Kluyveromyces lactis: one gene and its partners. The protein of the gene in region 2 purifies or fractionates together with the protein of the main gene of each other region. This does not show direct contact. Links are inferred from orthologs where the notes say so. Each region holds a gene or a part of one and is shown on either strand. Other genes may lie near its edges.

Region 1 (3,369 bases), on a different chromosome or scaffold from region 2:
AACATATCTTCCTAATACTGTTGCTGTGCATTTTCGTTCATTCGTTCGCTCTTTTAACATGGTAATAACATAAGGGAAAGTGAATATGGGATATTTTTGGACGTATCTTGATAATAAAATAATTAACGAAAAAACCTCTCGGGATTTCATTCATTCATTCATACACAACGTAACAGTTCTTAGTTCTTCTTAGCCTTAATACCCATGATAGCATTTGGAATGTATAGCAATGGAGCAACAAGGGCCACAGTAAACAAACCCCAGAATGGGTACAAGTAGAAAGCCGATCTTGGATGTCTAGACCACAATGGCTTAGAAGAGTGTTGGAACAGCTTTTGTAGTTCAATAATTTTGCTTGGAGAAGGCATCGTTCAATGTTTGGGGCTATGATTAAACAAATGTATTGGCAATCGATGAACAACAAACAAAATATACAAATACTATGAATCAAATCGAAAACTGTATTCACCAAGTGTAAACTAACTATCATAACAGTTTATTTCTTCCAAAATTTTTTTTAATCTCAGTATCTGATATTCCCCTACTGGCTTTCGAGTGGTGTGAAAATTCAACTTCCCTCTAAACAGCGAAAACTCCATAGGCTGGGAAAAGATACGGGGACATTCAGGGTAACTGCGGGGTTGTTGCACGTGATGGTGGTTTACACGTGACTTTTAGTATCGTTAGAAGGTTGTACAAGGTGTATATACGCTGTTATTGTTACTCATCAGAGTCTAGGACTATGAGACGTTTCTTACGCGCGGAGTTGTTGTTGTTGTTGTTGTTGTTGTCTTGACTATGAGTGAGACGGATGGTGTGCGGTTCTAGTTCGTCGTTACTAGTACTTTCGTCAAGGGAGTCACCACTCGCGTATCCATCGTCATTATGTTCGTAGAAATCACTGTCGCGAGATTCGTTGTCATCGTCATCTGAGAGGGCAACAGATGCTCTACGGAACTTCCGTTCATCTTTCAATTCTTGTTCCTCTTCCTCTTCTTCTTCTTCTTCTTCCTCATCCACTATGAACGAATCTATCGATCCTCTATCTTCCTCTTCCTCCTCTTCTTCTTCTCCATGCATAAAGTTCCTAGGCCGTCTTGTGGGCCATGCCTGGTCCATCTCTGAACTGAGACTCTCATCTCCCTCTTCGGCTTCCAAATCGTGCACAGTACGTGCACTCTCGGCTCTATAATTGTCCAAATCTCTCTCAACCTCTTCCAGTTCTCCGTCAGAGTACTCATCCACATCAACTTCGTCGAAGTTCTGTGCACCCGCATTATAATTCCGTATCGTAGCATTGCAGTTAGGACACACGGGACCCTCAACTTCCCATTGGCAATTGCTACACCTTGCTATCCCATCGTCATCATCGTCTATGATGGCTTTGGCAGTATTCTTAAACACACTGTTGAATAGCGTTTCTTCCAACAGGTCAGACTTGTATTCAGCAACGGAGCATTCTCTTTGTGTGAGCAGTGATCGTACTTCGGAGGAATTCGATTTCTGTGGGTCCTCCGCTGCTATATCTAGCATCAGATCGACTATTTGTTGTAAGGCAACGTTCAACGATGGTTCATTGGTAATCACATTTCGACATTGCGGACACGTTAATTCTGATACGTTGGATCGATTGTTGTTCAACCAGTTATTCAAACATTCGTAACAATAGTTGTGTCCACAGCTCGTCATGACTGGTACAAACATATAATCGTGGCATATCGTGCATACTGTGGAATCAAGCACTCTGCCCACGATTCGTAAATGATCCGCATTGGATTTTTTCGGTATAACCGTATGTAAATGTCCGTTCATCTTGATAATGAGGTGAAGATCGAAGTTATCGTTTCTTAATATAAAGCGGGTTCGCCTGCCATCCAATTGAATAATGTATCCCTAATCATCTCGCGATGTATTGTTTCGCAATCGCAGCTTTTTAAAGGTTTTTTCCTGTTTTTGGTCTTAAGGGCTTTTCTTTTTAAGAAACTGAACGAAATAATGGCAACAATGTAATGCACAAGAGACGAAGATATAGCGTACGGCTAAGTAAGAGTTCTTATAATTGGGATATTATTCTCGAATAAATATACATATATCTTTACATATATTGAAATGCTGAATTAAATTTTGTTGTTGATGATGTTGATGCTAAGGTATATACGTCAGGCCTAGTTTTCATTCTCTCCGATATTCTATTTACAAGTGGAGAGATGACAATGGTAAGACGAGGACGCAGAGAAATATATTTAACAGCTCTTTATTTGAGCTTGTGTTGTGCCAGTGTCCTATTTCACAACCTCTTTGGGTGCCTTTCTATACTGCTTTTCCAGTTCCAACTGTTTTTGATAAGTTGAAGTCTGATGCTTGTATACTTCATGATCTAACCATTTTCTTAGATACGTCATTAACTCTTTGATGGCATCTAGCCCTTCAAGCTTGGTAAAGGCATATCTTTTTCGTAGTTTCTCATACTCCACTATCATTGCGTTGGTATCCTCACAATTAAATTTATCAAAGTAAGCGATGTTGTATTTCACAGTACTCAACAAATATTTAGTGACGATAACATGGGATTCGTTATTCAACTTCTTTAAAGTTGATAAAAATTTCTTTGGCTCCTTTAACCTCACGAAAAATGCAAGCAATGACCTGTATATGATATAAGTAGCCCTACTGTCCGTTGGGTCCCTGGTCACAATGCTCTTTGCAAATAATTTGTCACATAGGTATCTGCCTTTGTATCGAGACGCTAACATGGCCAATTGGATATAGTTCTGGAAATTCAATTCGCGTTGATGCTCCTTCACAAATCGTTCGATCATTTTTAAACTCTGAGATCTCATGATTTCATTAGGTTGTTGTGCTTTCCGTAGTTGATATGCTAATTTGTACAAGTTTGCACGTAAGTTTAGAATTTTGACCTTCAAAGGAATGGTCCTATACGAGCTCTTGAGCGTCGTATCCAAAATGTTACACATCGGTAAGTGGCCTTTGTTCACACAGAACTTTTTCAAGGTGTAGAAGAACTGAAAATTAGGCCTTATCCCTAACCTGGCTTGATCCATTATTATCGTTCTCGCACGGCGGTAACGACCGTTTTCTAAGATCTTCTCTACCCTTTTCAAAAGTTTAGTGTCGACCCGTTGTTCATTTCTTCTGGAAAAAGTGTCATCTCCTGTGACGTCCGAAGTTTTCTCATATGATTGCAGCTCCATGGAACGAGATAACCATGGGTACGTCCTTTTATACCACCTGTTATCAAATAATGATTTCATTTCGAGTTCTAACTCCGTGCGAAGGATAGGGTACGCTTGGAAAGCACATTCCCATATTTGGAAGAACAAATAAGGATCTAATATCAAATTATTGGAC
Region 2 (4,399 bases):
CGTCATCCGAATAATCCTCTTCTTCTTCAGAGTACACTTCCTCATCAGATGGATCCTCATCAGATGCCTCGTATTCTGAAATTTCTTCCTCGCTCTCATCAGATCTTTCATCATCGGATCCAGTTGCCAAGAACGACCACCCACCATCCAAAAAGAATTGATGAGGATCATCTTGTAGCGACTTCATGATTGTCGACCAGTTCAAGTTAATTGTAGAAACAGTATATGGAATATCAACATCTGTTAACCATGTCTTAATGAATTCAAGTTGCTCAATTGGTACAGTGTTTATATGAGAAACAGGCTTTGTCAAATCTTTATAAACAAAGACCATGTCAAAGTTCTTCAATCCAAATTGAACTCTTTCAAGTATACAAATCTCAACTTCGTTCAAATTTATGACTAAAAATGGCGGTTCAACTAATTGAATTAAGCAGTCTCTCGTTGGCATACAGAACACGGCTGATCTAGAAGGAACACCTTGGAAACCAAGATCTCTAAATGGAGAATCTACATCTAGGAGACCATCGGATGCCTCTGCTATAGCTTCAGCAAAATATCTAAATTCTTTATCAAGGGCAGCACGTTTTCTTCTTTCTTCTTGTTCTTGTTCTAATTCATCTTCATCACCATATCTTCTAAATTTCATGTTGTTGCGTCTGCTGTTTCCTGTCTCATCGACAGCCATATCAGATGCTTCTCTGTAAAATTGAATATCTTGGATCTTCTTTTTACCCATTAAAATAGGATTCTTTAGATGAACATGAATGATCACAATAAGTTCTCCCTTTGATGATTGGAAGAATAGATTCTTGATGTTTGAGAATAGGATATCAATTCTTGAATCTGTCCTCAATGGAGACTGGTATCTGATACCATTTTCATGAATGAACACCGTACCTGGCACACGCTTGGTATCGGGACTAGGCCTGACAAAGATTTGGTCCAAACGTTTAGTCCTACCAGTTTTGTTCTCCACCAATTTAGCCTGGACAACAACATCAGCCAAAGCTTTTCTTTCCTGTTCACGTTTGGTAGATTCCTTCTTAAGATCAGTAATTTGTTTGAAAACATCGCTCATGCGAGCACCATCCTTAGATCTTAAAGTTAGAGAACGAACAAATTGATTCTCTGGGTTCTCTTCATACGGCAACTCCTCAGTTTTCTTACCGACACCTCCAGCACCAGGAGAATGGAAATTCAATCTGAGATAAGTGTATTCACCTTCTTCATTTTTAGAACCGTTTTTGTATGAATTGATATGAAAAGGTACAGGTCTACCATAGATTGGTAGAATGATTGTCTGACTCTTCCAGTCGACATGAATCTTCAAATCACGTACATTGGATGGTATTTGAGTTTCCCTAACGTAAGATTCGTACTTTTTGAAGAAATGCTTTGGCTTCTCATCGCCATCTACTGCATCTGCATCACTGTATCTGAGTAAACCTTCCTTCTGTAATCTTTCATGAAGTTTTCTTTGGTTCTCTTTGCGGATTTGTTCTTTCTCTTCATCGTCAGCACGACTTTCTCCACGTAGCTTAGATCTCAAAATCTTCGATGTACCATCAGGTTTTGGTAAAGCAGGAGGCTTGCTTTTTTCAGATTTAACAGTTGCAGCTTTGTTCTCTTCTTCGTTGTTGAAGTAAAACGAGATTTGGGATCTAGCCTTTGTGTACTTGGTCAAAGTGGATGGCTTTCCATCAGAAGAAAGTTGAACGGTATCTGCTAATTGAACAGCATATACCTGACCAGTTTTACTATCCTTTAAATTCCCAAATCCGAGTGAAATATTGTAACAGCAATTCTCTGAAATTTTATGAGCGGTTGGTTTAGCATTGATCATACCAGCAGAGTCTCTAAATTCCAACCCCATCAAAGAACCAACATTTTTAGTAAAGTGAGATAATAATTCCGGTTTCTTTTCTTTGATGAATTCCAGTGTCTTTTCATAAATAGATGTTGGATCAGCTTCTACTTTTAATAAATCATCGATGATCTTCTCTTGCAAAATCAATAAAAAGTCATAATTGTCAGTCATTTCATCTGTCGGGTCAATCAAAAAAGTTCTGGTGATATTGGAACAGTAATTCTTGTATCTGATACCGCATGAGGCTAGGATGGAACCCTTTCCGAAAAGTGAGTCGTTGTTAGAACGAGCAGAAACCTTAAGGTCGAACTTAGAACCTGATTGCACAATTGGAGAATAGGCCCAATCAAGGAAATTAACGTCGAATTTCTCGTCGGTAGGACACAAAGGATTTAGATCACTTGAAAGTTTCTTCAAAAACTTGGAATCATCTATCTTGTTTTCAATTTTATCTGACAACTTAGAATTTGATATTTTTAGTTCTTCGTCAACAGCATTGACGATTTCATTTGACATAAGATCCATGAATTTGTCAGATCCCTTACTGGATACAGAAAGGTAAGCCTTTTCCTTATCATCTTTGCCCTTCCAAGTAGAAGACAAACCAGCAGAGCAATCGATTACGTTTAAAGAATGCGTCTTTTTAGCTTCTTCCCAAAGCGGTTTCCATTCAAGAATGAGCTTACCTTGATATGAATCCTTCGTTGGGACACCGACAGTATTACCGTTTTCTGATAACAGCTTGATGAGGTCCTCAAACAATTTCTTATTGTGATTTGCATCCTTGTTATTTCTTTGCCAGATCTCAAGTTTGTAATCTGATCCTTCAAACTTAGTAACAGCGGGCAAAAGATGTTTCGCCTTAGCACTGCTGGTTATGATGACACCTTTATCCTTGAAAAAGGCAATCAATGTAGCTGGAAACTCATACCCTAGCAACCAATTATGCAAAATGGTGGTCTTTTGATAAGGGTTTTCCTCATTAGTCGAACCAAGTACAAAGAGAAGACTATTTGGAGAACCTTCAAATCCAGAATATGCCTTCCCTAATTTTGTAAACCTATCATAAAAGGCTTGGAAATCAATTTCAATTCCTCCGTCACTCATTGTTACTTGAGATTAGCACAATGGGGTCCTCAATATCTAACCAAAAAAGACAACTGCCACGCCTAATAGAACAATGAGTTTGAAATACCGAGCCACGAAATGCTTTGCAGGTTATTTCAATAAAAGTACCAAAGAGTCCCTTTGCTTTAATTTCCTGCCAGCTCTTAAACAATGGGTATAGTTTGCAAAAATTATTAATGTTACTCTTCAATTTAAAACTATAATATATGCATTATTGGCGTCGCGTTTTTTTTTTACTAAATTTTGAAAAATTCAGGTTAAAGGGAGAATATATCACTGTAAACGGATTTGATTCTCTTCACGTGACTGGAGATCAATTCCATACTAAGATGCTTCCAATGTATTTTGAACCGAGGATGACTATAATAGAAGTTAACAGTGGAAAGTGCACGTTTACTTTTCATTATTGGGTGTATATCAACATCAAAGCCTATAATCACATCGGGGTGGTTCACTGGTTTATTTGTACCAAAATAATGAGTGGGAACAACTTAAGTTCTGCTAACCATCTGGATAGCGAGAAACTAACAGAATTATTGAGGAAGAAGTATCCTTTTTTGGTGATGTATGATGGGAAGAACGATGTAATAGATCTTGGAAAGTTTTATTTAGGATTTGCACATTTTATGTCGCGAGAAATTACTTTTGCGGAGCAAATCAGCAGCGAATTTATATTCGCCTTCATGCGAATAGACTCAGAAAGAAGACGTCTTGAGCATGATGACGAATTGTTTTCCAAGGCATCCGATGATCTTTTGGCTACAAGAAGAAATATAAACAGATGGGCTAAAGAGTTAGAAGTGCAAATACTTCCTATTGTACTCTCTGCATACCAAATTCTTGCAGGTGATTTAACTGAGGGAGTAGAGAAGATAAAGGAAGCACTTAGGGATGAAACTTTGGATGGATTAGCCATAAGACTCAATATCCTTTCAGCGTATGCTATCGATATTATTAACGAAGTGATAACTATTTATCCGGAAATGTACAACCTGTCGGTATCTAATAAGAGAAGTCTTGGGGATTACTCTCTACACCTCACATTAGCAAGTCTTCTTTTGCAGTCTCTTCATCTATTTGCCGACCTTTGTGAACGCCATCCGAATTTATACCAACGATCGTTGCAACCTTTCACTTATGAACAATTCCAGATAGAATTGCAGGAAAAGTCGGAAGCAGTTACCAAGATCAACGAGGAATACGAGGAACTTATTAAAAGCATTACGACCATAACATTTAACAATGTAATAAATTACATGAAAGACAAGAAGACAAAACTACGAGACACTTCTAAAGAATACCTTTCTAAAGAATAGATATGAAGTAAGAAATTTCGACGGAATTTGTTATATGCATTGCATCTCATCACGAATAAATAAATTATAGCATAGAATCATTCTG
Region 3 (3,374 bases), on a different chromosome or scaffold from region 2:
AATGGCTAATAGTATTACATTAATGCATTAAGTAGGGGGTACTGTATGCAATTGACAAAGCTTTTGTTTCCATGCTTCTACTTTATTTTACTAGTGTAAGCGATACTGGCAATGTCTCTCAATAGAAAAATATCATCGATCGTATTGAAAGGAAAACTACGAAAGAAATCATTAAAGGAGTAGAAAGGGTAAATGTAAATACATCAAGCAAACTGAAGAAAACTCATTGAGCGTGGTAACTAGTTGTAAATATACTGAAGATACGGAACTAGAATGTCTGTGGACGAGAAATATGATGCTGCTTGCGAGCTTTTATACAGATTGGATCCAACAAAGGTGAAAACCCATTTACAGAACCTTATTGCGTTGGAGCCTGAAATCGCAGAAGGATTACTTTCCTCAATTGATATCCCATTGACCATTAAGAAGGATACCGATGCTAACAACAAAGAATTCTTATGTTGCGACTACAACCGTGACATCGATTCTCATAGGTCACCGTGGTCTAACCAGTACTTCCCTGAATTGAGTGCCGAAGATTTGAAAGAAAGTCCTTTTCCCAGTGAGCCATTGAGAGAACTAGAAGTTGCATGCAACAATTCTTTCGAGTTGTATAGGGACCTATACTACGAGGGTGGTTACACTTCAACGTATCTCTGGGACGTTGATGAATCAACTGATTTCGCGGGAGTCATTCTTTTCAAGAAAGCTGAATCAGATGATTCTAAATGGGACAGTATCCACGTCATATCTGCCACCCACGATGAAGAGGGTATGGAAGTCACATATAATGTCACTACAACGGTGATCTTGCACTTGGAAAACCTATCAAAAGAACAACAACTATCATTGTCCGGTAATCTAACTAGAGAAAATTCCAAGACCGTAAAATTGCAAAACGTATCTACTGTTGAACAGCTAGTACCCGCTCACTCTTCCAGCTTGGGATCTATGATTGAAGATATTGAATCTAAGCTTAGATCAATGCTCGAAATCGTGTATTTCGAAAAGACGTTGGATATTTACAACGTGTTGAGAGAACGTAACGATGATTCTACCAAATTGCAAAAGGAGCAACACTCCGAATTAATTGAAAACTTCCAGAAATTATAATCAATTGAATAAATAAAGTAAGAAATTATACACACATACACTACGTATAAATGCTAAATGAACACCATTATATTTTGCCGGTTCGTCAGTCAACACAATTATTGGCTAGAATTGTTCTATACATAAAACCGTTACCCTAACTCCTCATACTGTAGTTTCGAAATGTCAATTTTTGCAAGAGAGACATGAACTGAAAAGAAATCAGATAACCCAGAAATGAAAATTCCAGTTTGAGTATAGGCATTACAAAAGCTTCAAACGTACTGGATTATATACGGTGAGTGGTTTGGATTTCTCGGACTCATTATTACCACTGTTTATAGAAATAGAAAAGGTCAACAAAAAACTGGCTGGCAATCGTTCTCGTTGTTAATTTCGTGGTAGTTTTAGAGACTTTCCAGTACATTATTAAAAGGAAGATGAAATCGAAAGTGTGGAGTGAGGCAAGAGTCTATAGTGATGCCAACGAGATTCGTGGTCAAAGATACTGGGACTATGAAAATACATCAATAGAATGGAAGGCTAATAACTCACAGTACGAAGTTGAATGCAAAGTTGGCCGTGGTAAATATAGTGAAGTTTTCCAAGGCGTACAGTTATCCACGAGAAATAAGATTGTCATTAAGATGCTAAAACCTGTGAAGAAGAAGAAGATTAAGAGAGAAATTACCATACTTGCAAACCTCTCGAATGAGAAGAATCCGCCAACTGCGCAACCTTACGATGAGGCAAAATATTACACAAACAGAAGAGAAGAAGTACTGAAATATGCGAGAGATAAAGTATATGACTTACCTCATAACGGGCATGAGAATATTATAACATTGTTAGATGTGGTCAGAGATCCCATATCCAAGACACCTGCATTGATTTTTGAACATATCGACAATACGGAATTCCGTAGGTTGTATGCTTCATTTTCGGATCTTGATATTCGTTATTATATGTTCGAGCTTTTGAAAGCTTTGGACTACTGCCATTCGATGGGTATTATGCATAGAGACGTCAAACCACACAATGTAATGATTGACCATAAGCAACACAAATTGAGACTAATCGATTGGGGTTTGGCTGAATTTTATCATCCATCGATGGAATACAATGTCCGCGTTGCGTCAAGATTTTTCAAGGGCCCAGAACTTCTAGTTGATTATAGAATGTACGATTACTCGCTAGACTTATGGTCATTTGGAGCAATGTTAGCATCAATGGTTTTTCTGAAAGAGCCTTTCTTCTATGGGTCGAGTAATACTGACCAGCTAGTCAAGATTGTACGCGTCTTGGGTAGTGATGATTTCGAAAGATATTTACAGAAATATCAGATAACACTCCCAGATGAGTTTATTGATATGGATCAATACATCAGAAGACCATGGCAGAAATTCGTCAATGATTCCAACAAGCACCTATGTGGAAACGATGATATCATTGATTTAATCGATAATCTTCTTCGTTACGACCATCAAGAAAGATTTTCTTGTAAAGAAGCTATGGCTCATCCATGGTTTGCTCCAATTAGAAACAACGAATACACATTATAACCGTTCCATAGATCAATATTTTTATGAAGTTAATAATAATAATAATACTAATAACAACTGTGTGAGCTTTCCTATAATAAGTGTTGGAGGATATATTTTGATCGGGTGCTTCTAAATCTACGAATTTATTATTGACATTCATTGAGAAAGTTTTCAGATGTTGTGGAACTGTTTTGATCCTGAAGCTGAGCCCAGTCAAGCATTTGAAATTCTGCAATGAACGTTTTGTCTTTCAACATCAATAACTCACTCTGAACATACCTCTTGCTTTGAAGGATATTACATCCGTCACAATGAACTTCTCTGCAGTGTTCCAAAATCGATGACAAAATCTGTAGACAGAATCTGAATGCTAGTCCGAAATAGGGAACAATAGGAATTGTTAATCTTTTTCCGAACTTCATAAGATATTCCCACCTTTTCTGGAAAATAACGTGAAAGGCAGAATCCGTTCCTGCCTTTAAATCACTCCAAAATGTTTGTGAATCCAGTAATTTCTCTTTGATCAATAGTTCCATGGTGTATAGGACATGACAAGCAAACCGGATTTTTGTTACATCGTCATCGCCCAAAAGGACTAATCTAACTAGGAATTTAGAATGATACGAGCAGATATTCTGAAGGTGATATTCGGAGACGGAAATATCGAATTGCCTTTTCAAAACTTTTGTATAAAGTTCTCTGTTGTACATTTCTTTCGTGATAAATCTATCAAATAAT
Region 4 (4,313 bases), on a different chromosome or scaffold from region 2:
CAATGACAACGAACAATACTGTCCAAAATTCGTTACCACTTACTCTCAACCATACTTTGAAGATGGTTATGTTGGTCAAGGTGGTTACGCATCTCACATCAGAGTCCACGAACATTTCGTGATTCCAATCCCAGAATCTTTAGAAACCAACAATGTTGCACCATTGCTATGTGGTGGTGCCACTGTGTATTCTCCATTGAAGAGAAATGGATGTGGCCCAGGTAAGAAAGTCGGTATCGTTGGTATCGGAGGTATTGGTCACATGGGTATTCTATTAGCCAAAGCCATGGGTGCCGAAGTGTACGCCATCTCTAGATCCCATGCCAAGGAGGAAACATCCAAGCAATTGGGTGCAGACCATTACATTGCCACTGAAGATGAAGGTTGGGAAACCAAGTATTTCGATACATTGGATTTCATGGTTCTATGTGGTAACTCATTGTCGGCCGTTGATTTCGGCAAGCTACCAAAGATTTTGAAAGCTCAAGGTGTTATTGCATCCATTTCTGTCCCTGATCAGCATGAAGCCATACATTTACATCCAGCGCAACTTCTAGGATTCCAGATTACTCAATCTTGTCTAGCATCTCGTGCAGAAATCATTGAAATGTTGAACTTGGTGGCTGAAAAGAAGATCAAACTATGGGTTGAAACGGTTCCAATCAGTGAGGAAAATATCTCCACAGTGTTCAAAAGAATGGAAAGCGGTGATGTTCGTTTCAGATTCACACTAACTGACTTTGATAAACAGTTTGACCAATTCAAAGCCAAGAAATAGGCGTTGAACTGTATAAATTATATAGATGGTTGACACGTTGTTCATAGCTTAAGTCACTTATATATACATACTATGACATAAACGTCAAAATGGAAACACACATAAAATACAACCTACAATTTATACACATTGCAAGGAACGGCTTTCATAAACACCAGAGGACGGTAAGGGTACAGTAAAGTGCATGAAATGCAGTCACTGTAGCCAAGGTTACCTTTCCAGTAACCGAAAATTTCTCGAAGAAGAGCAACAAGATCATGGGAAATATTTGCTAACTGAGCTGGTATGAAAGATACAAAAAAATACAGATATCACGTGACCATCAAGAAACCGAAATTTTTGATGCAGCAGTAACATGGATCTGTATTGTTTTGCTTCATTTCATAGGAGAAAGAATGATATAGGCAACCGGTTTTTGTAAATGTAAGACCTAGATTGCTTGCTGTTAGTTTCGTTTACTATAACTCGGACTTTGTGAGTTCTTGTGAGAATGTGTTTTTAGAATAGACATTCTTCTCTTCTAAAACTAGTAAAGGTACTATCCTCTCTATTTGTTTACCTTATATTGAAAGAAGAAATAATAATTCATCAAGTGGCAGTCATCGCATATTTAAGAATGACGACTTCTAAGCGAAATAGACTGCTGAAGGAACTTCTGATTGATGATAATATACATTCCAAAGTACAGGCTGATTTATGGGACGCTGGAGATGGTGGAGTACGACGGAAACGCACCAGAGATAGACATGACAAGTCGTCGGATCATATAGGCTATAACGGTGCTGATGATTCTGGGGTGCAACCGGAGAAGAATAAGGACAAGAAACTTAAAACGATTGTTATACCATCTGATTGGAATGAGATGAACAGCCATGTGCAATTTTCAGACGATCGTAGAATTATTACTATCAGGTATAATCCGTTGAAGTTGCTTGATTTCAATCAAGTGTTGAACAGAGGCAGCGATCTCGACGTAAAAGTACCGTCAATTCCGCTAAATGGCATTGACTTTGAGATATATGAAACTGAAAATTTGTTAACATCTCTTGATAACGATGCTCAGTTCCCTTATCGTGGCGCAATTGAAAATAAGCAGGATTATACAACTCATAGGACCATTCCTCGTGTCAAAGATAGAGAGTTTTTTCTAACTTTGCTGCGTAAGTCCCAAACAGCAGCTCGTTTCAATGGTAACACACTCCTGGCATTTCCAAATGATGAAGCTCATAATCAAGATAAGAAACGGTTAAAGCCAACAGCTTTGATGCATTCTGCGAAGACAACCAACGTGGAATATGTTTATTTCCAAAATTATGAGATCAAAACTTGGTATAAGGCTCCCTACCCTGAAGAGTATAACAAGAACGAAATTATCTATATTTGCGACAAGTGTTTGAAATATATGAGTTCAAAGTATGTCTATTATAGGCATCAGTTGAAATGTGATTATATCCACCCGCCAGGAAACCAAATTTATAGAGATATGGACCAAGGGTTCGCCATTTGGGAAGTAGACGGAAGAGAGAACGTTATTTATTGTCAGAATTTATGTTTACTAGCGAAACTTTTTTTAAATTCGAAAACTTTGTATTATGACGTGGAACCCTTTATGTTTTACACCATAACAGTATGGGAGGACGAAGAATGGAAATTTGTTGGATATTTTTCTAAGGAAAAGCTAAACTCAACTGGTTATAACCTAAGTTGTATTCTTACTTTACCACATTTTCAAAGGCGCGGTATCGGACATCTACTGATGGACTTTTCATATCTCTTATCAAGAAGGGAATTTAAACTAGGCACTCCCGAGAAACCTTTGAGTGATCTTGGTTTGGTATCTTATCGAATATACTGGAAAAATAAGATGGTGCAAACGCTTAATATGTTATTTGAAGAACTGGGTGATTCATTCGCTTGTACCATAGACGACTTGTCCAATCTAACCGGTATGAATCATTCGGATGTGATATTCGGCCTGGAACAGATTGGATGTCTATACAAATACAACGATGAAGCCTCAGGTAAATGCAAATATGCAGTGAAAGTAGAAGATTGGGATATCTTGTGTCAGTTATTTGAACAGTCTAGAGCGAAAATGAAATATACTTTGGACCCTTCCAGATTTGTTTGGAAGCATGTCATTTTCGGTCCTTCGTGTGGAATCAATGCCGTTGGAACCATGGTAGAAACAAATGTTAGCCAGCAAAGAATTACGTCTGCCGCTGGTTCAACAGCTGCTGATCCATTCAAACAAAGTATATCTGTTCTAACGAATTTTATGAGTGACGATTTGGCGGATCCAAGAACGATGGAAGAAGCTGCAATGGAAAAGATTAAGCAACAAACTATTCCTGTATCCTTGTCTGATAAATCTTTAGTTCGAGCATATACACTTCCAAGCAATATCAAGGAAAAAATCATTAAGGCAAGCAAAATAAAACCTGAATTCAAACAACTCAATACGAAGCTCGGGGGGACTATTCCAGCTCTCAATGAAGGTACACCTTCTGGCGATGCTTCTGATGCCAAAACACTGATCAGCGGAGGTATGCACGATGATATAAATGGCGATGAGCAAGAAATTGAGGAAGAGTTTGAAGAGGCAGACGGTTTAGAAGATGAAGGTTTCTCGCTAGATGATGCAGAAGCTGAGGAGTATTCAGATGATGATGAAGATGATGATCAAGTGCCACCGCCTCCAGAGGAAATAGCGACTCCTAGGGTCAGTAGATCTCTAAGAAAACTCAGACAGCACAATCCCGTAGAAAATGAAGTTCAGCAAAGACCACAGAGAGTCTTACGGAATAGAGTTTGAATATTAATTAAAGGATAACCTAATCATAGTAATGCGTGGCCATGACATGTGTTTATGAGAAGAAAACTGATAATAGTGTAATATCTAATATATGCATGTATATATGTATATGATTGTAAGAATAGCGAAAATTAATGCCATCATTGATATAGCAGTAAAATGTAAATAACAAAACAACGTAATAGTACGCACTTTTCATTTAAGTGTTTATGCAAAAGGAGCAGCCCGTGTCCCTTTGCTATAATAAACTGAATAGGGACATTATTATGACAAAAAATAACCATATGGTACAGTTCAAATGATTTGGCATAAAGATAACACTGTAACAGTATTATTGATGTTCTATTGTAGTTATAGTACTTGTACAATGGGGTCATAATCAGGAAAGTGTGTGCGTTTATGTGATAGTAAATCAACGACAATGATGATTGAAGTAGCAGCGACTGGCGCCACGATACACTTCGGGGTTCATGTTCATACATGTCTGAAAGTGGTTTGTAAAGTAGTTTTTTAAGTTTTTGGTTCTTGATAATGGTATTAATACAGACAGTTTATCATCAAACAATGTGCTTGAATATCGTATTCAAACTAGGCAGTGGCTGAGTTGGCACTTGCGGTAGTCGATGGTTTTGTGGTGGTTGAGGAGATTGCGATGAATTCGGAGTGAACTGGGGCGTTTGTTCATTACTAGCCTGTGTTTGAAGAATTTGCTTCGGTACG

Evidence for each region. Proteins that work in one complex are often made in the same cells at the same time.
Region 1: the proteins of SPT16 (region 2) and PSH1 purify together in Saccharomyces cerevisiae (affinity purification with mass spectrometry; 8 studies listed by BioGRID, with this or other methods). This does not show direct contact. The link is inferred for Kluyveromyces lactis from reciprocal best matches to the Saccharomyces cerevisiae genes SPT16 and PSH1.
Region 3: the proteins of SPT16 (region 2) and CKA1 purify together in Saccharomyces cerevisiae (affinity purification with mass spectrometry; 9 studies listed by BioGRID). This does not show direct contact. The link is inferred for Kluyveromyces lactis from reciprocal best matches to the Saccharomyces cerevisiae genes SPT16 and CKA1.
Region 4: the proteins of SPT16 (region 2) and SAS3 purify together in Saccharomyces cerevisiae (affinity purification with western blotting; 4 studies listed by BioGRID, with this or other methods). This does not show direct contact. The link is inferred for Kluyveromyces lactis from reciprocal best matches to the Saccharomyces cerevisiae genes SPT16 and SAS3.

The regions. Positions count from the first base shown.
Region 1 is NC_006038.1:766,251-769,619, reverse strand, and holds PSH1 (ubiquitin-protein ligase PSH1), read right to left. Parts: upstream 1,813-3,369; coding exon 721-1,812; downstream 1-720. Other genes in the region: COX7 (cytochrome c oxidase subunit VII), read right to left, coding at 180-368; PET111 (Pet111p), read right to left, coding at 2,283-3,369.
Region 2 is NC_006042.1:906,556-910,954, reverse strand, and holds the start of SPT16 (chromatin-remodeling protein SPT16), read right to left. Parts: upstream 2,978-4,399; coding exon 1-2,977. Other genes in the region: KLLA0_F09867g (uncharacterized protein), read left to right, coding at 3,205-4,314. UniProt on the Saccharomyces cerevisiae protein: Component of the FACT complex, a general chromatin factor that acts to reorganize nucleosomes. The FACT complex is involved in multiple processes that require DNA as a template such as mRNA elongation, DNA replication and DNA repair.
Region 3 is NC_006041.1:381,342-384,715, forward strand, and holds CKA1 (casein kinase 2 catalytic subunit CKA1), read left to right. Parts: upstream 1-1,532; coding exon 1,533-2,654; downstream 2,655-3,374. Other genes in the region: CAP2 (F-actin-capping protein subunit beta), read left to right, coding at 274-1,113.
Region 4 is NC_006041.1:1,770,384-1,774,696, forward strand, and holds SAS3 (histone acetyltransferase), read left to right. Parts: upstream 1-1,394; coding exon 1,395-3,593; downstream 3,594-4,313. Other genes in the region: KLLA0_E19889g (NAD(P)-dependent alcohol dehydrogenase), read left to right, coding at 1-778; KLLA0_E19933g (SANT/Myb-like DNA-binding domain-containing protein), read right to left, coding at 4,151-4,313. UniProt on the Saccharomyces cerevisiae protein: Catalytic component of the NuA3 histone acetyltransferase complex, that acetylates H3K14. The NuA3 HAT complex has 2 functionally distinct forms.